3 linked regions of the Kluyveromyces lactis genome follow. The main gene of each other region encodes a partner of the protein of the gene in region 3 in a complex. Links are inferred from orthologs where the notes say so. Each region holds a gene or a part of one and is shown on either strand. Other genes may lie near its edges.

The links.
Region 1: HOC1 (region 3) and ANP1 share a complex: the UniProt entries of both Saccharomyces cerevisiae proteins name them as parts of the M-Pol II complex. The link is inferred for Kluyveromyces lactis from reciprocal best matches to the Saccharomyces cerevisiae genes HOC1 and ANP1.
Region 2: HOC1 (region 3) and MNN10 share a complex: the UniProt entries of both Saccharomyces cerevisiae proteins name them as parts of the M-Pol II complex. The link is inferred for Kluyveromyces lactis from reciprocal best matches to the Saccharomyces cerevisiae genes HOC1 and MNN10.

The regions. Positions count from the first base shown.
Region 1 is NC_006041.1:1,973,108-1,983,753, forward strand, and holds ANP1 (Anp1p), read right to left. Parts: upstream 4,608-10,646; coding exon 3,255-4,607; downstream 1-3,254. Other genes in the region: putative acireductone synthase UTR4, read left to right, coding at 415-1,080; RAD23 (Rad23p), read right to left, coding at 1,528-2,679; KLLA0_E22177g (uncharacterized protein), read left to right, coding at 5,281-5,670; KLLA0_E22199g (uncharacterized protein), read left to right, coding at 6,237-6,710; MCM DNA helicase complex subunit MCM3, read left to right, coding at 8,168-10,646. UniProt on the Saccharomyces cerevisiae protein: Involved in the organization of the secretory pathway. Required to maintain a functional Golgi apparatus.
Region 2 is NC_006039.1:1,339,513-1,349,689, reverse strand, and holds MNN10 (alpha-1,6-mannosyltransferase), read right to left. Parts: upstream 5,844-10,177; coding exon 4,848-5,843; downstream 1-4,847. Other genes in the region: LEC1 (Lec1p), read right to left, coding at 1-509; HNM1 (Hnm1p), read left to right, coding at 949-2,592; RNA-dependent ATPase DBP3, read left to right, coding at 2,975-4,489; PEX5 (Pex5p), read right to left, coding at 6,420-8,120; mRNA splicing protein PRP28, read left to right, coding at 8,632-10,177. UniProt on the Saccharomyces cerevisiae protein: Required for polarized growth and efficient budding. The M-Pol II complex possesses alpha-1,6-mannosyltransferase activity and is probably involved in the elongation of the mannan backbone of N-linked glycans on cell wall and periplasmic proteins.
Region 3 is NC_006038.1:1,251,470-1,261,843, reverse strand, and holds HOC1 (alpha-1,6-mannosyltransferase), read right to left. Parts: upstream 4,852-10,374; coding exon 3,655-4,851; downstream 1-3,654. Other genes in the region: TRP3 (bifunctional anthranilate synthase/indole-3-glycerol-phosphate synthase), read right to left, coding at 1-1,118; septin CDC11, read left to right, coding at 1,775-3,037; Ran GTPase-binding protein MOG1, read right to left, coding at 5,061-5,654; E1 ubiquitin-activating protein UBA1, read left to right, coding at 6,189-9,248; ATP-binding cassette a-factor transporter STE6, read right to left, coding at 9,375-10,374. UniProt on the Saccharomyces cerevisiae protein: The M-Pol II complex possesses alpha-1,6-mannosyltransferase activity and is probably involved in the elongation of the mannan backbone of N-linked glycans on cell wall and periplasmic proteins.

The sequences.
Region 1 (10,646 bases), on a different chromosome or scaffold from region 3:
GGAAAATACTGCGCATTGTGATGTCTGGGTTCGTGTGTGGAACGTTCCGTCGTGATCACGTGGTTTGTGGCATATTTTCAGTTATTTAATTTTTGCGCCGTCTCCAGTATCCTCTTTGGGAAACCTTCAAGTTAAGCTAAGCTGCATTCTTTTCCTTTTTAGGAAGGTGTAGCCGTTGTCCAACATTGCCTATGCTTCATTCCATTCTCGCAAGACTGATTTCCGCATCTCATCTCGCAAACTGTAAAACTGAATATTTTGTAAACCTATTCCAATCTGATGTTCTTCACGACCATGTTGGTTCGGTACGCCTAGTGAATAGGAGCTTGGAATTAATCACAGTCATTAGAAAAAAGAGCTTTAAGGCACAGTTATTTGCGTTTACTGGAAAACTGAGATTTCAATTAAGTGACAATGAGTCAATTGAAATATATCTTGGACATTGAAGGTACGGTTTGCCCTATCTCATTTGTTAAAGACACGCTATACCCTTTTTTCTTGAAACAGGTGGAATCTCTTGTCAAGACTAATGACCCTACTTTGCAGAACTTACTTGCCCAATTTCCTGTCCCACAAGATGCTTCTTCTTTGCATGAACATATTGAATCGCTAGTTAATAACGACATCAAGGATTCCGTGTTGAAGCAATTACAAGGGTATATTTGGGAGCAGGGTTACAAGAGTGGTGAGATCAAGGCGCCAGTGTATCCAGATGCAATTGATTTCATTCAGAGACATGCTCCTAATGTTTACATATACTCCTCAGGGTCAGTAAAGGCGCAAATACTCTTGTTCCAACACGTAGAAGGGGACATCGATTTAACGAAATCCATTGCTGGCTACTTCGACATTAACACGTCCGGTAAGAAAACTGAACCTCAATCTTACACCAATATTCTCAAAAGCATTGGAGTGCCTCCATCATCAGCAAGTGATGTTGTGTTTATTAGCGACAATGACAAGGAGTTAGACGCAGCTTTGGATGTAGGCATCAGCACCATCTTGGCATTGAGGCCTGGAAACAACCCGGTATCTAATGCAGAAAAATATAAAGCGCTTAATAACTTCTCATCTATATAAGACATGTCTAAGGTACACTGGTTCTCTGAATTGGGACTAAGGATATAGTGTAATGATGAATAAATTTAAAAAAATTAATGAAGGGGATATCTGATTGATTGTAACACAAATCCTACTTGAAGTTGGAAGTAAGAGATCGAACATACCACGCTCCGTCTGTTGCAGATTGACTAAGGTTGGTTAAGTATAACTGCTCATTATGAGTGCGTATGTGTGCAAAAATTGGAAGATGAATATGTGGGATGCCTTCGCTGTAGTAGGAAAATCTGACGGTATAGAGGTCATACTTGGATTGGCAAACACTACATGCTGGAGATATGAGTACGCATATTCCATATTATTAAACAAATTTGGTAGAGATAATTATTTTTGTTTTCTATTTTGAACATATTCTTCTTTCCCTACATGCCTAAAGAGACGATGGTTTATTGAAAAATCATACTACATTCAATCAGCGTAATTGTTGAATAGCATGTTGGCAGCAATTTCTTCGTTTTTGTCACATGCGAAGTAGATTTGCACCACCAAGGTCCTCTCAAAACCCAACTCGCAAAGTCTATTGATAGCTTCTTCATCTTCTGCTGAGATAGTAACATTGGGAGGCGCGCCTTGAGTTTGTCCCCCGAAATCACCTAGATCACCTTCTGCTATGTCATCTCCCAGATTTTCACCCAAAGAATCGGTTAGGGAACCGCCAACAGCTTCTAATAGCAAAGAGATAAACCTTTGTGGATCTTGCAGCATGGTCTCACGGAGATGTGGGTAACGCGTGCTTAGACTCTCGAAAAGTGGCATTAAAGCCTCTGGACGCCCAGATACAACGTCACGAAGTTGTGTAATGTCCTCCATAGTCAATCCGATTGTGCCCATTTCTTCTCCACCTAAACCAGCAGCGGATTCATGACCTTGCTCGCCATTATTGGCTTCTGCTTGTGCAAATAAATTGTCTTCATGTTCAGTGAATTGTGATGGCACGTCTGTTGCAACTTCAGAATTAGCATTCGCCCCAGCTTCACTAGTTACAGCTTCAGCTTGTTGCTGCGATGGCTCACTGGCTTCAGGAATACCCATAAGCAAATACTCCACTGCACGGTCAGGGTTGTTGAATGCTGCTCTAAGCGCACGTTCTACTTGTTCACGATCATAACCCATTTCCATGATTCTGTTCACAGTCTCGTTACGTTGAGAACCAGTGACAAACGAAGCATCAGTCGTCCCTTCTTCTTGTGTAACTGCAGTAGTACCTGTTCTTGTACCAGTGGTTGTAGCTTCCGCAGGTGCATTTGCAACTGCAGAAGTTTCTGCAGAAGCAGTGGCTTGAGATTCATCTTGGGGTTCAGTTGTGGATTCAGTTACCTTAACATCAGCCTTTTTCTTAGTTTTGCTAATCATGAATATAACCTGATCCCCTTCCTTAAGATTGCATCCTGATACGGTCTTAGGATCCTGGAGTATCTTACCTGCGTAGATCAACTTTATTTGAGATGCATCGCACTGTTTTTGTTCAGCGATCAATTCCTTGGCGTGTGAAATGGTGGCATCATCCGCCAATTCAATAGGTAGTTTTTCCTTTTTGAAATCTTTAAAATTAATAAGCATTATGCTTGTGATTTTCTTGGACTTTGTCTCAACGGTTGTTTTCTTGACTTTATCTTCTTTGCCACCCAGCCATCAGATTCAAGTTGATTTGGCATTAATTTCAATTTCTTTCACTGTTCTCAACTTTCATTTTCGATGTTGACAAAAAAAAAAACTGAAGGTATCTGACAAGATGCAGAACTCCGGAATACGCTGAAAATTACAGCTTAATGCAGCTTGATAACGTGTTTTCAGTATTTGCTTGCCTGTAATAGTTACCAGTAGTAATATGGTTTGAAGTAAACAAAATGAACAGATTATTGCAAGTACAATATTAGTATATAATGCATTTAAACGTAAATGTAAAAAAAAGTCTATTGATAAAAACCTCGATAATGATCTAAGGTGCATATTGTACAACTAGATACTCCAACGTGTTACAGTCTGCCTAATAATTGAATAATAATAGGGGATGGAAGCGATGAGAATTGAAATTAGATGGTTAAGATATCTTTTTAAAAAATATCTCGTTAGTGAAGAATGTATTTGTGGGTTTTATAATCTTCTTTACTCTTCACTGCCTAAACAGAAAATTATTAATGAGCAGGATCAAAGTCCAGTGGTACTTCATGTGAATCTTGATTATTTCCTCCGTTCCTTGAACCATCATCTGCTTCATCATCATCTGACCAGTCCACTTGAATCTTCCTATCTAGGACATTCGGATCAATGTTCTTCAAAATTTGTAACCTTTCTAGCTCCCACTCATCTCTCACGTCATCGAAACCAATATCCCAAATTCTAGCATAGAACTCTTGAATTTTTTGCTCTTCAACCCGACGTTTCTCTTCCTCGGCCATCCAGGCCATGTGTTTCAAATCGTCACTTGAAGGTTCGTAAATGTGCCAGATCACATAATGAGGTAGACCGACAACACTGTATTGCATTCTACGTGATAATTTACCAAAGGCTTCAGTTTCAGCATGTTTCTCGAAAGAGAACGCAGGGAAATGAGAACCTGTTCTAAAGACCTTAGCTTTAGATAAGATGGAAACACCACCAATTCCGTCTAGTTCCATCTCGACCTCGGGATCGCCGCTTGGGTCTCTCATGTAGGCCAAATGTGTTCTCCATGTAGCGTATTCCGGGTACCCTTCTACGATACAAGCATCTTCATCCAAAGAATCAGCTAATTGTAATCCACCCTCAGATTCAACCCATGAGTTCAAATCATATGGTTGTATATTTCCCAACCAATCGGGTAGAGGTCTCCAGACGTTTGGAACAATGACGTCTTTATCATGATGCATTAAATCTTCCAAAATAGTATTCGGTATAGTTTGAACGTCGACATCTCTCCAGTACACGTAAGAATGATACGGCTTCAAAGCCGCTGACCCAAGCCAATTTCTAGCTCTGGCCATGGATTTTCTTCTAGGGCCTTGAGCTGCAAACCCGTGTCTATCAGAAAACGATTGACCCACACTTTGACCGAAATCTTTCTCAAAAATTTCAATGTTAGCGAATCTTCTCGATTTGTCTTGGTTTGATTGAGCTCTTCTCAAATGAGAAAGAAGTGTTTTCATGGTATCATCGCTTGAATCACTGACCAAAAATGAAAGATCAATCAAGTTATGTGGGTATGTCAATTTATCCAAGGTATCGAAGAACATATCCAAATGTGCGGCTGCATCTCTCAAAGGAACACAGAACACCACCCTATCACCGGTCTGCCATCCATTGGCATTCCCCTGATAATTAATTAAATCGTAATATTCCACTCCAGGTATATTTCTGAACCTGTTACCAGTTACAGGACTTGAGACGAACGGTACGAACTGCCATATGATTGGGAAAATCATTCGAATTATAAGAAACCCCGTTACCACTGATCCTATCACGGACACAGCAGTCAAGGCATTGAACCTGCTCTTACCCTTGCTGCCCATCTATGACGGTTGTATGACGTTGTGTAGAATATTTGAATTTCCAGGAATCGAGAATAGAAGTGATTTCAAAAGTAAAGAGCGATGGATCCGGATGTTTTTATTCCTCCACAGCTTTAGCGATTGTATTTTATTGTTCGAAGAAATTTTGATACCGCAATTTTTCACAATAGATCTATAAAATGCACGCTCGTCAAAAGATCCTTATGTGTTCTTCCTTTCTCACTAATCCTGGGCGGTGCTAACCCTGTGTATTATGACACCTTCTGGAATAATAATCGGCTGCTTTAAATGACAAACCTTTTTCCTTTAGCGTTTGCAACAGATAATATGGTCTGTGCCATAATAAATACTTATAAAATATTACTATTTTCGATTGTATAGTTGCATTGTTTTCATCCATTTCAATTTCTTCGCCAAAAAAAAAAAAAAAAAAAAAGTGTATAAACTGAAATTTGGAAAAGGTAAATAAAAAGGAACTGCCAGACCCTACACGCAGTTATAAGGTGTGGGAACCAGTGATTCAACTCTCAGGGCACTGTTGGGGACCGTAAGTTGTTGTAGATAAGAAGCAACTCTACTTTTTCCCGGCTCAATTACCGCCTTTTCGCACTGTAACAGAACCTCTACTACGGCCATTCAACATAACGGAACAAAAAGGCTGGAAAGATAGCGGATGTCTGTTCTTCCCGTACAGTCACGTGACATGTTTCATCTCATTCCAATGCCTGGGAATGCCAGGCGGCAATCAAAGGACCAAATAAATACGTGTATAGTGATATGTATATGTTACCCGGGCATCGTTGGGTTTCCCTTTTTCCTACTGCTTACGAGAGGATTCCGTGAGCTTACCGTGTACGGTGATATATCATGGTCCGTGCCTGTTTCCCTCAATGCGGCCTCAGGTTCTTTGGATCTGTCGACTGGCGAATCCACCCAGCTCTTCGCCATCAAAGATGAATTATACACAACTACGTATCAAAATTGTACATTATACAAATCGTTCCGCAACCGATACAATTATGTGCCAACGTTGCCTATATTATTGACTTCGATCTGTCAGTGAATGCCGTTAAAAAACTAGAATATGCCATTTGGAAAACATACAATCCCCATAGCAGACTAGAATAGCAAGGGAGAAGACGATGGGAAAGTAGAAAAAAAAGACCTACCGTACGAATTGCTTTTTCTTTCTGTTTTCACACTCTACAAACTTTACACGACTATGAAATACATCGGTGTTTTTCCCTCTCGCTCTCTCTTTCACTCTCTCTGTACAAAATGATCGAAACTAAATTTTTCAAACTTTTTTTTTCAGTTCGACGACGAGAAAGAAAAAAAAATTTGATATTCGATTTTATATATATTGGAAACAAAATTATAAGAGTTTTTTTCTTCATGGAAAGTTGAATTTAAAGCTTTTTTTCATTTACAAGAGTGTATTTAGTCCATTTTGTATATGTTTCAGAATGATTTTGTAAACTTCTTCATTTGTTTAATTAGTTTTTCTTGTTCTCTTCTGTTTTAACTTTATCCTGTTATTAGTTATTCAGTTTTACTTGGTTTCAATTGTATTTTGTTTTCACTACAGATAGTAGACCAAACGCATTAAACAAATCACACATATACAACATGGCTGAAGAAGAACACACTTTCGAAACTGCTGGAGCTGGTGCTTCCTTGACTTTCCCAATGCAATGTTCTGCTTTGAGAAAGAACGGTTTTGTCGTTATCAAGGGCAGACCATGTAAGATTGTTGATATGTCTACTTCCAAGACCGGTAAGCACGGTCACGCTAAGGTCCATTTGGTTGCCATCGATATCTTCACCAACAAGAAGTTGGAAGATTTGTCTCCATCTACTCACAACATGGAAGTCCCAGTTGTTAAGAGAACTGAATTCCAATTGTTGGATATCGATGACGGTTTCTTGTCTTTGATGACCATGGACGGTGAAACCAAGGATGATGTCAGAGCCCCAGAAGGTGAATTGGGTGACAACATCCAAGCTGCTTTCGACGAAGGTAAGGACTTGATGGTTACTATCATTGCCGCTATGGGTGAAGAAGCTGCCATCTCCTTCAAGGAAGCTCCAAGATCCGAATAGATTTTGATATGAACAAAAAAATTCAGTAATATATTAATGGACTAAGAAATGAGAAAAAAAAGTTTTTTTATCCCTGGATAAATGGAAAGAAGAAATTGGATCAACCGTTGTTGATACGTTGAGCTCCTAATGTGTTTTGAGAGGGACAGGGGATCTTCTTTTGTTATCAGTGAGATTGGACTCGAGATGAAAAAGACTTGAAATATGATTCCTTTTTTATCCTTGCATGTTTTCACTTGTCCATCTTTCTGTGTTTCCACAAAAGTCGTTTTCCTTCCTGGAACGGTTTTGGTTGCTACTCCCGGTGTTCTTTAGTACGCTATCTAATTCCCCATTTTTTTTCGTCTACTGTTAAGCATCCAATTATATATATTAACTTATATGATATTCTGGGTGTTTTACGTGGGTTTTCAGCAATGGGATGGATTTTGAGTTATAATTGTTGGTTGGAGAACAAGAAACTGTTTTTTCTTTTCTGGAAAACACTCAATCGCTCCTTTCCTTGTCAAGCGTCATTGATGGAAATACTATCAGATACGTTATTCTTTATCACTTTCTCCTTTTAAATCAGCTTTTTTCTCTCTATTCCAGTAATTTTTTTTTTCACTCAATTAAATATCATTATATCCTTAATTCTATTTCTTATATATTTAAATCTTCTTTAACGCTTCCGTTTGTCGTTTTACATTGTCATTGAACCCTGTTAATATGGGGTGTGTGTACTCTTCCGCACTTGCAGACTGCCAGTTACTAAACGGTTGGGAAACCATCCTTGTTTTATTTTTTCAAATTTTGGCTCATCGTCGATAACTTTCAATATCAAAAGCTCAATTGTAGGCAAATATGATTTCGTTAGATTACTTTCTTTAATACCATCTAATGTCCATACTAGGTTCAGAACGTTGGCAAGGGTCTGTAGTTTCTTCTTGCACTGTGAAGCGCGGTATAGTATTTATTATTTACCAATTCACAATATAATGAGTGACATCTTCTGGATCATGTGATATGAACCTAACATCATTTTATCATATAACATGGCAACATGGCCGAGCGGTTAAGGCGAAAGATTAGAAATCTTTTGGGCTCTGCCCGCGCAGGTTCGAGTCCTGCTGTTGTCGTTATTTTTAACCCCTTCTTCCTTTATTTTTTGACGCGTTGCCATTTCTCATTACCCGGAAAATTATTCCTCTTTCTTTTCCAAAAACGGAAAAGATATTGACGAAAACATCAAATCTCATTTCTCTTTGCCGTATTCTGTTGGTAAAATACAGCTGAAACTCGATTCTGACAAAAATAAACTAGAAGAACCATATCAAGAACGTTTCTATCCCAGAACAGCACTGGTGCCAATGAAACATTAATTTTTAGCACCTTCATTTTAATAATATTATTGCATTTATCGCTCCCTGTTTAAAGGACTTTGCTACTGAAAAACACCATAAGTACCGAATTCAATCATGAGTGATGCTATGAATCAAACAAGTGATGCTGTCTTTACAGACAGAATGCGAAGGTTTCAAGAGTTTTTGGATACCCATTCGCATTATACTCGAGAAATAAGATCAATACTCGAGTTTAACAGCAACGTAGTGAAAGAGAAAAAGACGGATGATGATTATTTAAATACTGCAGACAAAGATACGATGGACCATGACACTAATCAATTGCCATTGAGAATAACAGTATCACTTGACGATTTAAGAGAATTTGACAAAACATTTTGGACTGGACTTTTACAAGTACCCTCGTTCTTTTTACCACCAGCGGAGCGTGCTGTTTCGGAGACTGCAATGGCCTTAGATGATAGCCCTCTCGGGTTTCGCGGATTCCAAAATGATCCCAGCAGACAATGGAGACTGTCATTCAAGGGTTCTTTCGGTCCGAATTCTTTATCACCACGTACCTTAAACTCAACACATTTGAATAAATTGATCTCAGTAGAGGGGATTGTAACGAGAACCTCACTTGTGAGGCCAAAACTTCTCAGATCCGTGCATTATGCCCAAACCACAGGCCATCATCATTACCGTGATTATCGTGATGCGACTACAACATTAACCACATCCGTACCAACACCAGCTATTTATCCAGAGGAGGATCAAGAAGGTAATAAGCTGGTCACAGAGTATGGATTTTGTCATTACATGGATCACCAGCGAATCACCGTTCAAGAAATGCCCGAAAAGGCCCCTCCTGGTCAATTACCAAGATCCATTGACGTTATCTTGGATGATGACTTAGTGGATAAGACAAAACCAGGTGATAGAATTAATATTGTTGGTGTATACAAGTCATTAGGTGCAGGTGGTCTAACAGGTGGTTCTAATAACAACGACAAGGGTAACGGTGCTTTATCTGGTTTCAGAACTGTTGTAATTGGTAACACAGTGTACCCTCTACATGCCAGGTCTACAGGTGTGTCCGCCGTTGAAACGCTATCAGATAATGATATTAGAAATATCAATAAGCTATCAATGCATGATAATATTTTCGACACTTTGTCCCAGTCGTTAGCACCATCCATCTATGGCCATGAACACATTAAGAAAGCCATCCTATTAATGCTTATGGGTGGTGTGGAAAAAAATTTACCCAACGGTTCACATCTAAGAGGTGACATAAATATCCTTATGGTTGGTGATCCATCCACCGCTAAATCTCAAATGCTTAGATTTGTGTTGAACACAGCAGCATTAGCTATTGCCACTACGGGTAGAGGTTCCTCTGGTGTCGGTTTGACAGCAGCCGTCACTACTGATAAAGAAACTGGTGAAAGAAGATTAGAAGCAGGTGCGATGGTGTTGGCAGATCGTGGTATCGTTTGTATCGATGAGTTTGACAAGATGTCCGACGTAGATAGAGTTGCTATCCATGAAGTTATGGAACAACAAACAGTAACAATCGCAAAGGCTGGTATACATACAACATTGAATGCTCGTTGTTCAGTTATCGCAGCTGCAAACCCTGTTTTCGGTCAATATGACGTTAACAAAGATCCACATAAAAATATTGCCCTACCGGATTCTCTATTATCTCGTTTCGATTTACTATTTGTGGTTACGGATGATATCAACGACATCAGAGATAGAGCTATCAGTGAACATGTCTTGAGAACACATAGGTACTTACCTCCTGGATATTTGGAAGGTGAACCTGTTAGAGAGCAAATAAATCTATCATTGGCTGTTGGTGAAGATATCGAAAACGAGGAAGAAGATGATGATGAGGACGTAGTTTTCGAAAAATTCAATCCACTTCTACACGCCGGTGCGAAGCTTGCAAAGAACAGAGGTGATAGCAATGGTAGCGAGCTTCCTCAAATTGTTGCGATACCCTTCATCAGAAAATACATTCAGTATGCAAAAGAGAGAATTATTCCTCAATTGACTCAAGAAGCTGTAGACGTTATCATCAAATCATATTCAAATCTAAGAAACGATCAGAACACCAAGAAATCCCCTATCACGGCAAGAACTCTAGAAACTTTAATCAGATTATCCAGTGCTCATGCCAAGGTAAGGCTTTCAAAGAAAGTAGAACTAGAAGATGCAAAGGTAGCAACACAATTACTAAGATTTGCATTACTAGGTGAGGACGGAGCCAACTTCGACGAACAGGAATTTGCCGAAGGCAGAACAACCGAAAAATCTCCAAGAAAGAAGCCAAGAGCTTCTCCAAGGAAGAAGAGAGGGGCCGTTTACAAAGAAGTTGACTCAGAGGATGCAGAAGAGGACCAGGAAATGGCAGAGACTCAACCGGATCCTGCTGACGGTCTGGAATCTACGATGGTACGGTTAGCACCAGAACAAGAGGAAGACCTTCAAAGAAGACTAGAACAAAACTTGAGAGTGAGTCCGAGACGCCAACTATCAGTCGAAAGAAGAGTACTTTCACAAAGCGACCATCAACAACAGGTTCTCCACCACTCCTCGCAAT
Region 2 (10,177 bases), on a different chromosome or scaffold from region 3:
TAGTACTGACGTTCCTTTGACACACCGATCCCAGAGTTATAGAACAATAAAATCACCTTGGACAATTTCAATGCCATCTTCCGACGTTTTGTCAATTCTTCTCTATCAAAACTGGAACTGAACGGTAAAGACATGAAATGCTCAAAGAACACCTGAACTTTACCCTGCCAAAACGACGGATCCTTAACCAACTCCTTGGACAACAATGGGAACGTCATTACAAAATTCTGCAAGAAATGGCTTAATACCGGAAACTCACCAACAAATTTCTGTTTCACCTCATCATCAGAATTAAGCGTTGATGAAACACGACTAGAAACCGAGCTGTTTCGTGAATGACTCTTATTTTTAGCCTTGCCCTTACTCTTCGGATCCTCATCCGAGAAGGGGCACCCGAACTTCCTCAATGCATTAATGTCGTTAAGCTTCTCAAACTCTGTATTCAACTCAATCCTTAATAACTCTCTCTTCAAGTAATGTTCTTCTACGGAAGAAAGTTCAACGACCATGCCTCCTAACCTGTGTTATTCCGCTCACTTCAAGAAACACACCGATAGGTATATATATATATATATGTACATAAACCAGCCTGTCTAGACTAACTTCACATATAACTCTGCCAGTTAATCCAAAATCCACGATCTATACTAAATCCATGTCAATTCCATAAAGCAAAGGAAATTCCTTTTAGGAGACGGAAGTGGGATTTTGGGCCAAATGAGGTTTAATTTTCACATGTCATGAAAAACTTCGTCTTCGAGACGATTTGAAAAATGGAAAGATAAAAGACAACCAGAAAACTGCATTTCGAGGAATTGCCAAATCCTATATAAGGACACTGATATGTTTTTAGTTAATATGAGATGAGATGAGTTGGTAGTTTATTTATATTGTGTGTCTTGTTTCGTATTTTTATATAGATGGTAGTATTAGGGATATTCTTTGAAGATGCGAGAGATATCTAATTCCGAGATGGCAGGATCTTCAACTGGATTCAACGATAACAGTTCGGATAACGGTATCAAAAATGTTGTTCATGAGGAGAGTAAACTAGAAGAACAAAGTATATCGAGTAAAGATGCTTACGATGCGTACGGTGGTACAGGTGAAGGTCATTTGCGTAAATCATTCTCTCTATGGTCGATTTTAGGTGTTGGGTTCGGGTTGACGAATTCTTGGTTTGGTATCTCGGTATCCATGGTTACTGGTATCTACTCTGGTGGTCCAATGATGGTCGTATACGGTATCATTATCATTGCCTTGATCTCTATCTGTATTGCTGTGACTCTAGGTGAGTTGTCTTCTGCTTTCCCACACGCTGGTGGTCAGTTCTGGTGGTCGTTGCAGTTGGCTCCACCAAAATACAGAAGACTAGCTGCTTATCTATGTGGTTCTTTTGCATGGGCAGGTGCGATTTTCTCTAGTGCATCTACCACACTTTCAGTTGCTTCTGAATTGGTAGGCATGTACGCTTTGACCCATCCAGATTTTGAAGTCAAGAGATGGCATGTATTCGTATGTTTCCAAATCTTGCACTTGTTCTTGATGATGTTCAACTGTTCTGGTAAGGCTTTGCCAGTCATTTCTCAATCGTCATTGTACATCTCATTGATTTCATTTTTCACCATTACAGTGACCGTGCTAGCTTGTTCCCATGGTAAATATAACGATGCCAAGTTCGTTTTTGCTACTTTCTATAACGAAACTGGCTGGAAAAATGGAGTCATTGCCTTCATTGTCGGTTTAATCAACCCGGCATGGTCCTTCTCTTGTCTAGATTGTGCCACTCACATGGCTTTTGAAGTGGAAAACCCTGAAAGAGTGATTCCGATCTCTATTCTATGTACAGTGGGCATTGGATTCCTTACTTCTTTCAGTTACGTCATCGCTATGTTCTTCTCTTTACAAGATCTAGAGGCTGTTGCTTCATCCAATACCGGAATGCCAATCTTGGAAATTTTCCGTCAAGCTACCAAATCTACTCCAGGTGCTGTAGTGTTGGGTTGCCTCATCCTTTTCACCTCATTTGGATGTGTTATTGCATGCCATACATGGCAAGCAAGATTGTGTTGGTCATTTGCTAGAGACAACGGTATCCCATACTCTAAATACTGGGCTAAAATTGATCCTGAATTGGGTGTGCCATTGAACGCGCACTTGCTGTCATGTGCCTTGATTTCGCTATTGGGTTGCTTATACATGGCTTCCACCACCGCTTTCAATTCTTTAATTACTGGGTGTATTGCGTTCTTATTGTTCTCATACAGTGTTCCGGTCGTATGTCTGTTGGCGCGTAAACGTAATATTAAACATGGCCCATTTTGGCTAGGAAAATTCGGAGCGTTCTCCAATATCGTTTTATTGGGTTGGAATCTTTTCGCTTTAGTCTTTTTCTGTTTCCCAGCTGTCATGCCAGTGACAAAAGATAACATGAATTATGCATCAGTCGTCATTGTTGGGTTCCTATTATTCTACTTAGGATTCTGGCAATTTAAGGCAAAGAAAGTTTTCTATATCAGAGAAGATGAAAACACCGATAGCAATCAGGAGTCAGTAACAACTGAAGCTTTCCATGCTTATGATGCTAAATGATAAACACTGCTTCCTATCGCATTTCGTTTCTTGTCTTTTTTAACGTTTATTCACCTGTTTAATATACCTACTAAATATAATACTTGCATTGTCTTTTGAATTATTGTTACTAGATATATACGAACTGAGGTACTGCTGTATCGGAATTAATTGAGAATATATTATCAATTATACGGATCCTCCGTTGCTATATTAATTATATATTTGTCTCTTGTTGTAATTCAGCTGGCGTCAGTAAAAAGAAATGTTTTTTGATTATTGAAAATTTTATATAACAAAGCTGAGATGAGATGAGATGACTTAAGTGCTTTCGAATGATATGATTGCAGAATCTGCAGTAGTAGTGATACTTAACCATTAGAGCTCAAGCAAATAGTCCAGAATGTCAAAAGATGAATTAAAGGACAAGAAGAGAAAGGTGGAAGATGAGGAGTTGAAGAGTAAGAAAAAATTGAAGAAGGACAAGAAAGACAAGAAAGACAAGAAAGACAAGAAAGACAAGAAGGATAAGAAGGAGAAGAAAGAAAAGAAGGAGAAAAAGGATAAGAAATCAGAAACTGAAAGCTTTGCTGCTTCTGCCTCTCAATCTGATATTGATGAATTTTTGAAGGAAAATGAGGTTACAGTTAGCGACCCATCAGGTTCCAATATTGTACCATATTTAGACTTTTCCCAAGTGTCGTTTATTGATCAGATTCAAAAGGAAATTTCTAAGTTCCCAAAACCAACTCCAATTCAAGCTGTTTCCTGGCCATATCTATTAGCTGGTAAGGATGTTATCGGTATCGCTGAAACTGGTTCGGGTAAGACTTTTGCTTTCGGTGTTCCAGCTATCAACAACATTGTCACATCAGGAGACAAGTCAAGTTCCGTCAAGGTACTTGTTATCTCACCAACTAGAGAATTGGCCTCTCAAATTTACGATAATTTGATTGTTCTTACTGACGCGTGTGGTTTAAGATCTTGTTGCGTATACGGTGGTGTTCCAAAGGATCAGCAAAGAGAAGATCTGAGGAGATCCCAAGTCGTTGTTGCTACTCCAGGTAGACTGTTGGATCTAATAGAGGAAGGCTCTGTTGATTTGAGTCATGTTAACTACCTGGTCTTGGATGAAGCTGACAGAATGTTGGAAAAAGGTTTTGAGGAAGATATCAAAAAAATCATTAGACAAACAAGATCCACCTCTAGACAAACGTTGATGTTTACCGCGACATGGCCAAAAGAAGTTCGTGAACTTGCTTCAAGTTTCATGAGTGAACCGGTTAAAGTGTCTATTGGTAACAGAGATGAACTGTCAGCAAACAAAAGAATTACTCAGATCGTGGAAGTTGTGGATCCGTTCAGAAAGGAAAAAAAACTGTTGGAACTGTTGAAGAAGTACCATTCAGGCCCAACAAAGAACGACAAAGTTTTGATATTTGCCTTGTACAAAAAGGAAGCCTCTCGTGTTGAAAGAAACTTGAAATACAACGGTTACGATGTTGCTGCCATTCACGGTGATCTTTCTCAACAGCAAAGAACTCAAGCTTTGAATGAATTCAAAGCAGGAAAATGTAACTTACTTTTAGCTACTGATGTGGCAGCCAGAGGTTTAGACATCCCAAACGTGAAAACCGTTATCAATTTGACTTTCCCTCTAACAGTAGAAGATTACGTTCACAGAATTGGTAGAACCGGTCGTGCTGGTCAATACGGTACCGCACACACATTGTTCACTGAGCAAGAAAAGCATCTTGCAGGTGCCCTTGTTAATGTCTTAAATGGTGCTGGTCAACCTGTTCCTGAGGAGCTCAAGAAGTTCGGTACTCACACAAAGAAGAAGGAACATAGTGCGTACGGTGCATTCTTCAAGGATGTGGACCTATCAAAGAAACCAAAAAAGATTACATTTGATTAATTTAAATCCGTTATAAAGACAATTCTTGTATTTTTTAGCAATCACCCCCATTATGTACAGTAGTTCATTCAATACAGAGTAAATAAAAGTTTACAATTACTCTTGCATCGAAGTTTGTACAATGAATGTTCACGATAAAAATTGAAATTAAAGACGTATTAAATATGCGATATTCAAACAATGACTTTGAAAGGCAACGAAGAATGGTGTTGAAAGGGAAAGCATTAAAGTATAAAAGGGGATACTCTATCGAAGATCTTCTTGTACCTTCGCCTTTTATTTTACAGTATTAGTACAATGGAGCAGTGCATAATTTTTGAAATACAACTGAAGTGATAAACAAAAGGAAATTGAGAATCTAAAAGAACATCGAGTACCATCTACGGTGAAGAGTTTGCATCAGTTGAGTGTATTGGCGCATTTCACCCCAGCAGTCTCTACCAAAGTTACACCCAGCCATATTGACAACGAAGTCATGTTCCTTTTCGTTATAGAAATAGCGCAAGTCATACTTGAAATCTGCACAAGCACCTGGTGGGAAAGCATTGATCTGCCTTAGTGGTAGAAATGCGATCTTCTCTCTAATCCAAGGTTCGTTAGCATACAATGCTTCTAAAGCGTCTTGTTCACGATGTTCCCAGACCATATGTTTTTGTTCATATCCGACTGGGTCCCACCATATATCGAGAAGAAGCTCAGTCCATTCAGTGTTTCTCATTAGGAAAGAACCCAAATTAAAACCACCACAGTCCTGTGTAATTAACATATCTGACGGTTGTGAATAGTCAACATATGCCACATCGGTAGCTATATGCAAAGGATTGAAAGCTTCCAAAGTCTTGTTTGCGATTTCATCTAGTCTATCGAAGATATGTTCTTCCAAAGAAAGTTGGGGCTCCATGATAAGAGTTTCCACGTCTAACCACCAAAACCATTCAGCATTGGGGAATTCCCTCATAGTCTGTTTCATTATATCAACCTTTTGCCAGCCCTCTCTGTATTCATGGGAGTATCTCTTTGATAGTGCCTGATCTTTAATGACCAATCCGTAACCATGTCTTTTGGCGTATGCACGTTTGTTTTCGATAGAAATACGCTCGATAGCCCATTCTTGTTCCGATTTCCACTTTAAAACACCACCGCCACCACTATTGACAGCAACAATTATCACCACCTTGGGTTCAGCTGCAACAAGTGAGAAATCACTTAACCAAAATAATATGAAAAGTATGGAAAACAGCCATAGGACGTACCTCTTATATTTTGAAAATGACGACACGTAATTGGAATCCAAATTTAATGGCTTTTTCTCATCCAATTCGTATGAGTACTCATAAGGTGTACTCGAAGTCATTGATCCTATCTAGATTTTCTGACTGGTCTCTCGTTCACGTACAATATACAATAAATCGGATCAAGTTGGATGCCTCAGAAAAACAGCAAAACGCGATCAATAGTATTTTCTGCTCCAAGCAGTCACACTATATTTCCTTAACGTATTGAAGTACTAACGAAATCACTTAGATACACAAACAACAACCAGTAAATGATTGTTTTGTACTACTCTGGAGTTTATCTATAGAGAACATATATTTTTACTCTGTTGACATTACTTCAAATTCTTGCAACTCGCTTTAAAATGAAGAAATCCAAAACAAGAAAATGTTACCCGGTAGAAATGATAGAATCGCAATCTGTCTCTAGATACCGCGACAGCTTACCATAACACTTTGACTGGTACACTGATCGTGAGCATGGACCTCTGCACTATTCGTTGAGGAATACAATCGAATGACGACTACATATATGCGACTAAATGCTTGTAATTAATTATGCGAATGTATTTTTCCGCAAAACTTGGTGAAAGATCAATTCATTATGAATATGAGGATGGTCCTATCAAACAAAGACTATTCGCTGCGTTGCATTATCAGAAGTTAAACTCATTACGAAATTGCTGTAGATCCATGCCCGGCATGACTTTTTCTAGCAAATCTCTCCTATCCATGGCGACAAAGGAACGCTTTAAGGTCTCCAGAATATTGTTAGATTGCACGACTGATCCAGTAATTGGAACATTCTCTACTTCATGCATAGATAGAGCAGAGAGCAGAGACTCTGCAGCCTCTTTATAACAGCCAATATTCATTGACGAAATGGCCAAGTTATAACGAGCTCTCACAAAAGACGGTTTCAAGGCAAGGGCCTTGTGGTATGCCTGGATAGCTTCTTCGCTACGGTTTGAATTGGCCAAAGAGGCTCCCAAACGGTTCCACATTAATTCGTCATTTGGATTGACTTCTAATGCGGTGCGGAAACAGTCAATTGTCTTACCAAACTCTTCATTGGCATAGAAAAGCGTTCCCAAACCGAGCTGAACTTCTGGATCCACCTGAGGCAAGGCGTTAGCTACTTGCAAATACTTCGTGATTACTTGTTTGCTCAAATTAAACCTATCGATATTGGCCTCATCAATGGTAGGGGAGCGTGTTAACTCAGGGTACTTACTATCTAGCCATCTGTTGAGCATGCTGAAAGCGGTCAGATCATATCCCTCATTAATATAACTGATAGAAATTGTCATGAGTGCCTGCTGATTAGTGGGGTCTAGGCTTAAACATTGCTCAAGCGCACTAATACCATTCATTTCTTTTTCGTTTTGTGTTTGAACCAATCCAAGCTTTAACCATGCATCTACATGCGCGGGGTCTTCTTGCACAGCAGCTTCGAAAGCCAATGCAGCTTCACTTAGCTTCGCCCCATTTTCCATTAGGATACATCCAATTTCATAGGCATTTGGATTATGCATGTATTGGTTATCATTATCAAATCTGTAAGGTGGAATATGTGTTGCTTTACCAGTCATATAGCGAGCGTAATCTTTCTCCCATTGAGAATCACTTGTTTCCAAATTATTATCAGCCGTCTCCGCTTGTAACTTATCCCAGACTTCTTGGAAGTCTGCTTGATATCCATCCTCCACTACTATCTCCTCCTTGGTTTCCTCTTTATTGTCCTCCATGGTCAAATTTTCAGCCACAGCCTTCTCCAAGGCTTCAAACTGCTCATTCCACTGCTTGTCAGCGAGAACACCATCATCACTGGACATTTGCGGTGTTTGCTGAGACATGTGAGAATAATTATGTAATGAAGAAATACCTGTATGCATCATCGGCCTCCCGATCCGGGACATGCCAGGCCTGTATGAACTCATAGAATTTGTGTTGCTTATTCTTTCAACATTATTGACTCTGCTGGCTAAACCCTGTTGAGGAGATCTGCTATTAAATTCATTACCCCAGCTCCTGGAATGCTGAGCTGTATCGCCTGCTGACATATTACTGCTTCCACTATCTTGTTTCTTTAGTCCAAAACGAGGACCATGCGAAAGAATAGCACTAGGAACAGGCGCCATTCCCAACTGACCATCAGAAAAACCAGGTGACCTGTTCATAAACTGGTCCATTTGAAAACGATTTGCATTGGATACTTCATTCACATGAGTTTTGAAGTTTTGAGCAACATTACTGGCCGGATTTTGATACCCCACTTGTCTCAGAGCAGGATTCTGCTGGGCATGTTTATTCAACTGCGCGAGAGGATTTGATCCAACGGAACAATCTGCACTCATAATTGTATTATGTCAAATGAGATGGGATATTTTCTTGTTTTTAAACTCTACCACCTCCCTTGATGAGCTCCCTTAGTCTATGCTTAGTAAACCCTTTTAGCTCCCTTGATGATTGATAATAAAGCTACTAGCTCAAACAAATGAACACAATGACAAGTTCTGCGTAGAAAGTATGTAGATTTGATATGTTGATGAATCCAGTTATATATGAATTCAACCTTGGCAATGTCATGAAAGTGTTCGGTTAGTTTGTTTAAATCATGATTCATCAATCTCTGGAGTTTTTCAAAGCTCCAGAGATTGATTGAGATTATCGCCATGATTTTTCGGAACAGGTTTGGGGCGATGTTATTACCCGGACATATACCGTATTAGGTTATTCGTGGCGACAATATCAGAAACTGTGCCTTTAAGTTCTTTAAGCTTTAAGACGGTGGAGCTCATCTCATTTCTCAAAGGTATTGCAATATTACACGATTGTAAAGATGGGTAGAAAGTATCACACTTTACCATGCTAAGGCCCGTCAGTATTGATGACTTAATATCAGACACAGTTCCTGCGAAGAAACCTCGGTTTCTGATCAAGAAACGAACATTTCCACAACCAGAAGAAGAAGAAGCGTCAAAGGCATTGTCACACACCGTTATCAAGAGGAAAGATAATTATAGGAATCTCGACGAAGACGAACTATACGAGGAACAAGTATCTAATGAACCAGATGATTTACTATTCCTAGCAAGAAAATCCGCCGACCTTTTGAAGAAACGACAAAATGAAGATGAAAGTATTGTCGACAATTACTTGGGGAAGCATTGGTCTGAAAAGAAATATGAAGAGATGAGCACTAGGGATTGGAGGATTCTATCTGAAGACTTTAATATCTCGAGTAAAGGTGGAACAGTAGAGAAACCTCTAAGAAACTGGCACGAATTAAAGTTAATTCCGGAAGATTTGTTAAACATTATTACAAATGATTTGCACTACAACGAGCCAACATCCATTCAGCGCAGTACAATACCGAATGTTATAAACAATAGAGACTTCATTGGTGTTGCTAGTACTGGTTCTGGTAAGACACTTGCATTTTTGCTTCCAATTCTTATAAAACTTCACGGTATACCGCCACTTAATTCAATTACTAAACATGATGGTCCTTTGGCATTAGTATTAGCACCAACAAGAGAATTGGCACAGCAAATACAACATGAGGGGCAATCAATTACGAAACTATGGAAACGACCTTGCAATATCGTAAGTATTGTTGGTGGACATTCCTTGGAAGAAATTTCAGCAAACCTAAGAGATGGATGTGATATATTGGTTGCTACACCCGGAAGGTTACTTGATTGTCTAGATTCTCATCTTTTATTTTTAAAGCAAGTAAATACGTTAGTGTTGGATGAAGCGGACAAGATGATAGATTTCGGTTTTGAAGATCAGTTGACTACAATTTTAGCAAAGACAGAAACAATTTCCAATAGACAAACAATGATGTTTACGGCTACATTCTCACCTACCATAGAAAAAGTTGCTAATGGCTATTTGAAAAAGCCAAGCTATGTCACGGTTGGAGGAGAAGAATCTAAACCAAAAATTAAACAAATAGTACGGTATGTTCCAGATGAAGAAGAAAAACTTAAGATACTTGTAAAAGATTTCCTACCAAATTACAAGGCTCCTATCATAATATTCATAAATTACAAAAGAACAGCTGACTGGTTATTCGACAAACTTAGAGAGGCTCGGTTCCGAGCAACAACTCTTCACGGCTCAAAATCACAGGAACAACGTGAACACTCTTTAAGTCTTTTGAGAAATGGGAAAGTAGATATTCTCATAGCTACTGATGTCGCTGGAAGAGGTATCGATATACCTAACGTTTCTTTAGTAGTGAATCTACAATTTCCTAAGTCGTTTGACAGCTTTGTGCATCGTGTAGGTAGAACTGGACGTGCTGGTAAAACTGGTACTGCACTTACTTTTCTAACCGAGGAGGAAGATCATTCTGCCATGGCTAAATTGTTCGATTATGTCAAAAAGAACGACTTCACCGGAG
Region 3 (10,374 bases):
ACGATCAATAGCACAGTATCAGCGCCTGCAAGTCTAGCTTCTAGGATTTGGTACTTTGAGAAAATGAATTCTTTGCGTAATACACATGGTCTTTTCGATTCGTCATTGGCAAATGCCACCTCCAACACTTTTCTTACATTTCTCAAATCTTCAATGGAACCTTTGAACCAGTGAGGTTCGGTCAATACAGAGATCGCTGAAGCACCTGCCTGACCATACTTCAACGCTTGCTCTGAAGCAACGACACTCAAATCAATGTCACCCTTCGATGGAGAAGCTCTCTTCACTTCAGCCAAGACTGCTGTTTTCTCAGTAGCAGTTAATCTTGCATAGAAATCTTGTACCCTTGGAGCTAAACCTAACTTATAGTTGGCTTCTAAATCAGAGAACCGATAACCTGGGATCGTCGATTGCAGTTGAACGTCTTCACGGCGTTTTTCGTAAATAGTTTCCAAGATAGATTTCGCTTTATCAGTGCTGGCTGTCTTTCCGAGCTCATTCCTAGCCAAGTTAGCTGCGTTCTCATCCCAAGTACCTCCTGATACTTCAAGAATATTCTTGATCATTTGATGCCCACTCTCGGTCAAGATAGATTCTGGATGGAATTGCACACCTTCCACAGTGTATTTCTTATGTCTCACACCCATAATAATTCCAGTCTCCGTTCTTGCACTAACTTCAAGCACATCAGGAAGTGTTTCCTTGGCGCCAGCAAGCGAATGGTACCGCGTCACTGCGACACCTTGAGGTACTTTTCTAAAGAAACCTTTTCCATCATGGAATATTGGTGAAGTCTTACCATGAACAATTTCTCCAGCAAAGCTAACTTCACCGCCAAAGACATCAAACATACATTGCTGACCCATGCAGACACCAAACACAGGGACTTTGCCGCAGAAGAATGCGATACAGTCTCTTGATATCCCGGAATCGGTCTCTGGATGACCTGGACCCGGTGAAATCATGACAATATCAGGGTTCAATGCTTCAACTTCTTCCACAGTAATCTTATCATTTCTGAAAACTAAAACTTCAGCACCCTCAGTGCAAAGATATTCATAGATGTTCCAGGTGAACGAATCGTAGTTATCGATCAAAACAACTCTTTTAGCGGACATGATATCAAATTAATGCGAAAACCTAGTTCCTTTTTATCACAGTATAGTGTAGTTGCCCTACTAGATAATTATCAACCAAATATAACCAATCGATAAGAAATTATCGAAAGTTTCTTCTTACAATTATTTCAATGCCCTTTAAGGGTTCCTTTAAATATAAAATCGTCTTGAACATGAGATGATTAACTGGTTCCACATCACAATTCGAGATGAGTCAAGAGAAAGCTTTGATGAAATGAGAAATTGAATCGAATTTCGTCCTAAATGATAAATATGTATGTGATGTACGGATGTGTCAACATTCAAATCCACATTCTTAAGGCAATTGTGCATCGCTGGATTGATTATTCCGTAATCTGACTTCCAAGTAACAATCTATAACCTCTGTTCAATTAGCTGAGCCCCTCTATCATCCATCAAATGCTCTTTCACCGTCGAATACCTACTCTTTCTCTGTTTCCTCCATACTAAATTCCAGATTCCTCAGAGTAACGAATTTAGAATCAGATCGGAAACGTGAAACTTTAAACAAACAACTAACACGTAAACAACACAATTAACAGAAGAGCTGCTCAGAGGTCTTATTAGCACCTAATTTCTGTCGGGGTATTGAATTGGGAAACAAAAGCACTGCTACAATTGTAATTTAGACAGAAATGGCAAGTATTATTCAGGCATCTGCCGCTTTGCGTAAACGGAAGAACTTGAAGAGAGGAATTCAGTTCACGGTGATGGTTGTTGGTCAGTCTGGGTGCGGTAGGTCGACGTTCATTAACACTCTATGTGGACAGAAAGTGGTAGATACTTCTACCACGATTATGTTACCAACGGACACAAATACGCAGATTGATGTGCAATTGAGGGAAGAAATCGTTGAGTTAGAAGACGAAGAAGGTCTTAAGATCCAATTGAATATCATTGATACTCCGGGATTCGGCGACTCTTTGGATAATTCTCCATCGTTTGACATTATCTCTGATTACATTCGTCACCAGTACGATGAAATTTTGTTGGAAGAGAGCCGTGTAAGGAGAAATCCTCGGTTTAAAGATGGTAGGGTGCATTGTTGTTTATATTTGATCAATCCTACTGGACATGGATTGAAAGAGATTGACGTGGAATTCATCAGAAGACTAGGTACTCTAGTGAACGTGATCCCCGTTATCAGTAAAGCAGATTCCTTGACCGCTGAAGAGTTGAAATTGAACAAGAAATTGATCGCAAAGGATATCGACTATTATTCGCTACCTATCTACAACTTCCCATTCGATGAGGAAGACGCGTCAGACGAAGATTATCAAACAAACACATATCTCAGAGGTTTACTGCCCTTCTCTATCATCGGTTCCAACGATGTGTTTGAATCTGCAGACGGGTCCGTGATTCGTGGTAGAAAATATCCATGGGGAACCCTTGACGTCGAGGATGCTAACATCTCTGATTTCGTCGTCCTAAGGAACACTCTACTCATTTCACATTTACACGATATGAAGGAATTTACTCATGAGATCCTATACGAAAGATACAGAACTGAAGCCTTGTCCGGTGAGATGCCAACTGTAGGAACTACGACTCATAACAGAGCTTTCAGCACCACGAACAACGAATACCTAGGATCACCCGCTGTATCTGGTAGAGAATCTGTGAGGGGCAATGGATTACCATCTGCGTTGGGGAACAATGATTCGACTTCTTTACATTCTAACAACGCGTCATCGAACCAGGACACTTACTTGGCAAGAGAAGAACAAATCAAGCTAGAAGAAGAAAGATTAAGGGTTTTCGAAGAAAGAGTGCAACAAGAATTGCAATTGAAGAGACAGGAATTGCTGCAAAGAGAGCAAGAATTAAGAGAAATCGAAGAGAGGCTAGAAAAGGAAGCCCAATTGAAACAGGAAGGAATCAAATTGGAACAATAAGTTGTTGTCCCTTCCTGCACACTAAATAGAACTACATATTTCGTTTCTTTCTTTAACCTATACCTCAGTTATTACCATAAGATAGATAAAGCATTACGAACCATTTCAGGCTACTGGCTGCTAGTCGTGTGCTACACTTTATCGATGCCCTAACGATCAAGCAAAACCTCATTCATTTAAGAAAAAAATTCCCGAACGAAAACCATATAAAAGCCACTTACTTCGAGGCCGAAAATAAGACGAAAAAGACGGTAGAAGGATGGCTTCTGAGCACCAAATGGGTAGTACCAGGGGTACCAGGGATACCAGGTGTACCATGACCTAGTAAATCTCCTTTACATTATCTCACACAGCATGCCAGGAGGCGTGTGCCGTGTTCTGACAAGAAAACATCATGTATGAAGATGTGGGATGGAAAAGCTTTTAGATGATGAGTAACCAGATAGGGACAACAGATATTCGTTTAAGTGACGAGGAAAGTCTTTTAATTGCCCAGTTTTTAGTAGAGCTTGGGCGCACTCTGATTTTAGTTCCACAACTTATACATGATTTAGTGTCAGAAACGGATTAACAAAATTATTTAAAGTTGTGATATGAATATAGTACTATATAAATCGTTATTTGTAGCCGCGGAGTTTTTGCTGGTTCTTCCATGACTTCATTTTGGTATGTGTTGCGAAATGTAGCGCACTGTTAGTCAACTGTTTAGAATCCGTGTCTGAATCAGCTTGTGGCGCATTGAAACTAACTTCTGGGAACACTAGAATGTCTCCGACCAGTTTGGGTACCTTTAAGTTATGGAAATGTTTCCAAGTGATCTTGTCTAAAACACCACTTTGAACGTAATCGTTGAAATAGGTGAATATTACGTCGGTCCAAGCACCAGTTCCGGTCCAGCCCATAATGGTCAGATCGTTTCTTAGGTTCATGTTAAGTTCATCAGCGTATTTTTTTTCCAATGTAGTCTCAGTGACCCTTGCGACCATTTCACGGATCACTGGATGGCCTGGCTTGGCTTGTACGACCCAATTGCCAAATTGCAATCTTCTCAAATAAGAAGATCTCCAATCAGGAGTCTTCGAGTCGTGTTCAATACCAATAATCAACCCGATTTCCTTTGGAGACACGTTCTCTGGGATCCAATTGGGTACTGGTTGCAACAGATCAGTGTCGACATCTGCCCAGACACCACCACGCGCCAGCAAGATGAGGTACTTAAAGAAATCGATCTTTAAGATCGACGTAGGCAAAGAATCATAAGCTTCTATCACTTCAGGAACTGTAGCATAGAAACCATGCACAAACGCCGCAGCAGTATCGTCGTTGACAATCTCGTGAACGAAACCAGGGTTTTTATTAGCCCAGTTCCGTTCGTATTTTTTCAATGTAGGATCCAACCTGTCATCGTCATCGGAATACGGCCAACTTTGCCAAACAAAAGCGGGGAATCTCTGAGTGGTACCGTACTCAAACACAACGGCCAACTTCTCTCTCAAAGTCGCATGTCTGGCAGGTTGCTTCAACGCTTGAATCTTCTTCTCCAAGACTTTCCTCTCTCTATCAAACCTTCTTGCCTGATCGTCCTGTTTCTTTAGCATATCCTGGCTCAATTTCTCAAATTTCTCCATAATTTTACGGTCTGATTGCTCGGAAGAACCCATATTAATCTCCTTAGGTAAATTCTGTAATAGTGTCTGCAAATCTGCAGCAGTCGTACTGTAGTTAAGCATCTTGAAAAGAACCACCACTGCAAACACCAACGGAATTGCAATGGTGGCTATCCTTCTCCAGTTATTTCTCTTGCCCTTGGCCATCTTCACACGGATAGCGCAAGTTATGAACCACTAATCAACACCAGGGCTCCCGCTCGTAGTGATATACCGTTGAGAGTCTAGCTGATGGAGGAATAAGTATGTATTGTTTATCATTGATAATACCATTTCCATAGTTGAAACACTCATTCTTAAAGAAATTCATTACCCGGATATATAATTTACTATACTTTTACTATACCTGGTTTCGATCATGCAAATAACGATGGATCCTCCACTTTGAAGCTCGAGATCATGTCCCGAAGCAACGAATAGGACGCGTGCACCCTTTGAGGTAGCTTTTCCGGTGAGTTTTGCGCAATTGCCTGTTCCATGGCCTTCAGTTCTTGTTCCGATGAGATAGGCACGTGAACAGAAATGATGACGTCGGTATCGAATTGATCCAACCTGAGCAATGCAACACACATTACTACGGTTTCCTTCATCGATTGTTTGCCCCACTTGTATGCGGTCTCAACAACGATACATGTCTGTGATTTGAGTTCCGTTTGCTCTTGATGGTCAATTACTGTCCATTTCTGTGATCCGTTGAGTTCTGAAATTTCTGCCAAATGGATATCTAACGCTTTTCTGTCATTATTCTCTTCCACACGCTGCATTAGGTCTACGATCACACTTTCATCGAACCCGAGCCCATCCTCACTAGGTTCATTCTCACGTCTGCTATTCACGAACACTTCCTGTGTGTCTGGTACTTGCCTTAGCATTGAAGCATCAAGAAACGTCTTGGGAATGACGGTGCTGATGGCACCGCCGTACAATTCTTGTCTGATCCAATGGGACATGGAAAATTAGATATATAGGGTTGTCAGACTGTGGGTAGAGTAAACAATCGCGCTGTCCTTGCCAGTCGAAGTCTCTCCCTCTCTCTTTATCTCTTGAGAAGGACATCTCGTCTTCAAGGTAAGGGAAAATCAAATATCACATTTGACGAACATTCAAATATTATGTGGTGTGCTGGTGTAAATGCATTTATTGTATGCAATGATGGCTTCAAGCATGCCAAATGGGTTTAAATCAAGTGATTACTGTCTCGTATTAATTAATTATTTACGAAACAATTTATATGGGCTCTTGGAACCATACTATCACCTCAAATGCTTCACTTTCTGTCGTATTGTATTCGAACATCTTCCATTCATATCACGTGACTGAAAACTCAACCACTCACGTGACCGAACCCAAAGTGGCAAAAACCGAATTAATAAGGCCAACAACCTATAAACAACTACAAACCAGTTTCCTTAAAACAACAATAGCAACAAGAAGTGAACCGTTCGTTCATTTTGATCACATTGCATCACAAGTTAGTATCAGATATGACGAATATTAAGGTTGATGGCGAAGAAATTGACGAGAGCTTGTACTCTCGTCAATTGTACGTATTAGGTAAAGAAGCGATGTTAAAGATGCAACATTCGAACGTTTTGATCATTGGGTTAAAAGGTTTAGGTGTCGAGATTGCCAAGAACGTTGTCTTGGCCGGTGTTAAGTCTTTAACCCTTTATGATCCAAGCGCTGTCGCTTTACAGGATCTTTCTACGCAGTTTTTCCTGTCAGAACAAGATATTGGGCAAGCTAGAGATAAAGTATCACAGGCAAAATTAGCCGAATTAAACTCATACGTGCCAGTGAAGGTGCTAGAGGGGCTAGAAGACGTGTCACAATTGTCTGAATTCCAAGTAGTTGTTGTGACAGACACGATTTCACTAGAAGAAAAGGTGAAGTTGAATGAGTATACACACTCTCACGGTATCGGTTTCATTTCTACGGAGACCCGTGGGTTATTTGGTAACGTTTTCGTCGATTTAGGTGAAGAATTTACCGTTATTGATACTACTGGTGAAGAGCCAAAGACAGGTATTGTTTCTGATATCGAGTCGGATGGTACAGTGACCATGTTGGACGATAACAGACATGGGTTAGAAGATGGCAATTACGTCAAATTCTCCGAGGTGGAAGGTCTTGAGAAGTTGAATGATGGTACTCCTTACAAGGTCGAGGTGTTGGGTCCGTTCGCATTCAAGATTGGTTCTGTTAAGGATCTTGGTACATACAAGAAAGGTGGTCTGTTCACCGAGGTCAAGATGCCACAGAAATTAACGTTCAAGTCTTTAAGGGAATCTTTGGCAACACCAGAGTTCCTGTACTCGGATTTCGCCAAATTCGAGACTACTGCACAATTACACTTGGGTTTCCAGGCCCTACATCAGTTCCAAGTTAGACATCAAGGTGAATTGCCAAGGCCATTTTATGAAGAAGATTCTAATGAATTAGTTAAACTCGTTATAGATTTAGCTACACAACAACCTGAAGTGCTGGGTTCTGAGGGGAAAGTTGATGAAAAGCTCATCACAGAACTAGCTAACCAAGCAAGAGGTGATATTCCAGGTATCGTTGCTTTCTTCGGTGGTCTGGTTGCTCAAGAAGTGTTAAAGGCCTCCTCCGGTAAGTTCACTCCTATTAAACAGTACATGTATTTCGATTCCATCGAATCTCTACCAGATTCTGAAGATTTCCCAAGAAATGCAGATACCACGAAACCAATCAACTCTCGTTACGATAACCAAATTTCCGTATTCGGTTTGGAATTCCAAAAGAGAATCGCAAATTTGAAGGTATTCCTAGTGGGTTCAGGTGCGATCGGTTGTGAGATGCTCAAGAATTGGGCTTTACTAGGTTTGGCTTCTGGCCCTGAAGGTAAAATTATTGTTACCGACAATGACTCAATTGAAAAGTCGAATTTGAATCGTCAATTCTTGTTCAGACCAAAGGATGTCGGCAGAAATAAATCTGAAGTTGCTGCTGATGCTGTAAGTGCAATGAATCCTGATTTGAAGGGCAAGATCGAGCCAAAGATTGACAAAGTTGGTGCTGAAACAGAGAATATTTTCAACGATGCTTTTTGGAATCAATTAGACTTCGTTACCAACGCATTGGATAATGTGGATGCTCGTACCTATGTCGACCGTCGTTGTGTGTTCTACAAGAAACCTTTACTAGAATCGGGAACATTGGGGACAAAGGGTAATACACAAGTGGTTATCCCTAACCTGACAGAATCTTATTCATCTTCAAGAGACCCTCCTGAAAAGTCAATCCCATTGTGTACATTGCGTTCATTCCCTAATAAGATTGATCACACTATCGCTTGGGCCAAATCCCTATTCCAAGGCTACTTCTCTGACGCAGCTGAAAATGTTAACCTATACTTGACGCAACCAAACTTCGTAGAACAAACTTTGAAACAAGCCCCAGATGCCAAAGGTATCTTAGAATCAATTAGTGATTGTCTAAACAATAGACCTTACAACTTTGAAGATTGTGTCAAATGGGCAAGATTAGAATTTGAAAAGAAGTTTAGTTATGATATCCAACAGTTTCTTTACAACTTCCCTAAGGATGCAACAACATCCACCGGGGAGCCATTCTGGTCTGGTCCAAAGCGTGCCCCTGAACCATTAGTCTTCAATATCGAAAACCCAGATCACTTCCACTTCATCGTTGCATCTGCTAACTTGCGTGCGTTCAATTATGGTCTAAAGGGAGATGATGGTAAACCAGACATTAACTACTATCAATCCGTCCTATCAAAGCTTATAGTTCCTGAATTTATTCCAAAAGCTGACATCAAAATTCAAACCAATGACGATGAACCAGATCCAAACGCGAACAACCAGCTTGGTGGCGATGTCTTAGAAAACTTGGCAGCTTCTTTGCCAGATGCTTCTACCTTAGCTGGTTTCCAACTAATCCCAGTTGAATTTGAAAAGGATGACGATACAAACCATCATATTGAGTTCATTACTGCTGCATCGAACAACCGTGCTCTAAACTACTCTATCGAACCAGCTGATCGTCAAAAGACTAAGTTCATTGCTGGCCGTATCATTCCTGCCATCGCTACAACCACTGCTTTGGTTACAGGATTGGTCAACCTAGAACTATACAAAGTCGTCGCTGGAAAGACAGATATTGAACAATACAAGAACGGGTTTGTGAATTTAGCTCTTCCATTTTTCGGTTTCTCAGAACCAATCGCATCACAAAAGGGTAAATACAATGATAAGACTTTCGATAAAATATGGGATAGATTCGATATTCAAGGTGATATCACATTAAGAGAGTTGATTGATCACTTCAACAAGGAAGAAGGATTGGAAATTACAATGGTCTCCTACGATGTTTCTTTACTATACGCATCATTCTTCCCTCCAAAAAAACTAAAGGATAGAATGGATCTTCCAATAACTGAGGTTGTAAAATTAGTCACGAAGAAGGAAATCCTCAGTCACGTTAAGACCATGATTTTGGAATTCTGTTGTGAAGATAAGGAAGGTGAAGACGTGGAGGTTCCATATGTCACCGTCCATTTGTAATGATTCTAATTTTGTCTGATACCAGATGTAAATTCGTAATTCTATCTCTATGATGCTAGGCTTAATGATATAAACTTACTTAGAAGAAATCATACATGTGAATCAATCGTTATTTAAAATCCTCTGTTAATATCTAGTGCACGAAACTATCCGGTATAGTTCGCCTCTAGATTCGAAGAGCTCTGCATAGGATCCCTCTTCTTTAACTTTCCCTTTTTTCAAAACAAGAACCCTATCGCAAATTTGCATCAATTGCTCTGAATGAGTAATAACAATCACCGTAACATTCTTCAGAACAGTCCTGATGAGCTCTGCAATTGCAAATGAATTAGCTGCATCCAGTGCAGATGTGCATTCATCTAGTATGATGATTTTCGGCTGGCGTAACAACGTGCGGGCGATAGATAATCGTTGGGCTTGACCTCCGGACATTAACCCATCATGAACGCGCGTATTCAAGTCATTCGGTAGGGTTTGTACAAATGATAGTAAATCAACTGACTTTAAAACTGATCTTAATTCAGAGTTTGAAACGTTACGTTTGAGACCATATACCAGGTTTTCTCTTACTGTACCATCAAAGAATTTTGGCTTCTGTTCCACAATTGAAATGGTTCTTCTTAAAGCATACTCATCCCATTTATTGATATCAATACCACCAATATAAACTTTCCCACTAGGTACAGGGTAGAGTCTTGTTAGCAATAATGATAGGGTAGACTTTCCAGAACCAGATTCGCCAACAATCCCGACAGTTTCATTAAGACAGATCTCGCAACTTAACGAGTTGAATATTTTATTCATCGGTGCGCTTGAGAAGGCAAAAGATAGATTAGATATCTTAATCGTCTCTCTGTTGCCCGCTGTGCTAAAGAAGCTTTGGTTCTGTGAGGGATCAGGTTTTGATGTATCAACAGAGCCAGAATCTTCTAGAACCTTAAATATGTATGTAGCAGCCCTTTGTCCTCTGCTAATTTCAGGAACTTGGTTGATCAAAGAAACACAAGTCATAATGGAGAAAAGAAGTAACGTAAACGTTTCGAACATTTGTGCTACAGAATACTCACCTTGAATTACTAATTTTATTCCGAAAAAGAATAAAATAGCTTGGACAACCATAGCTAAT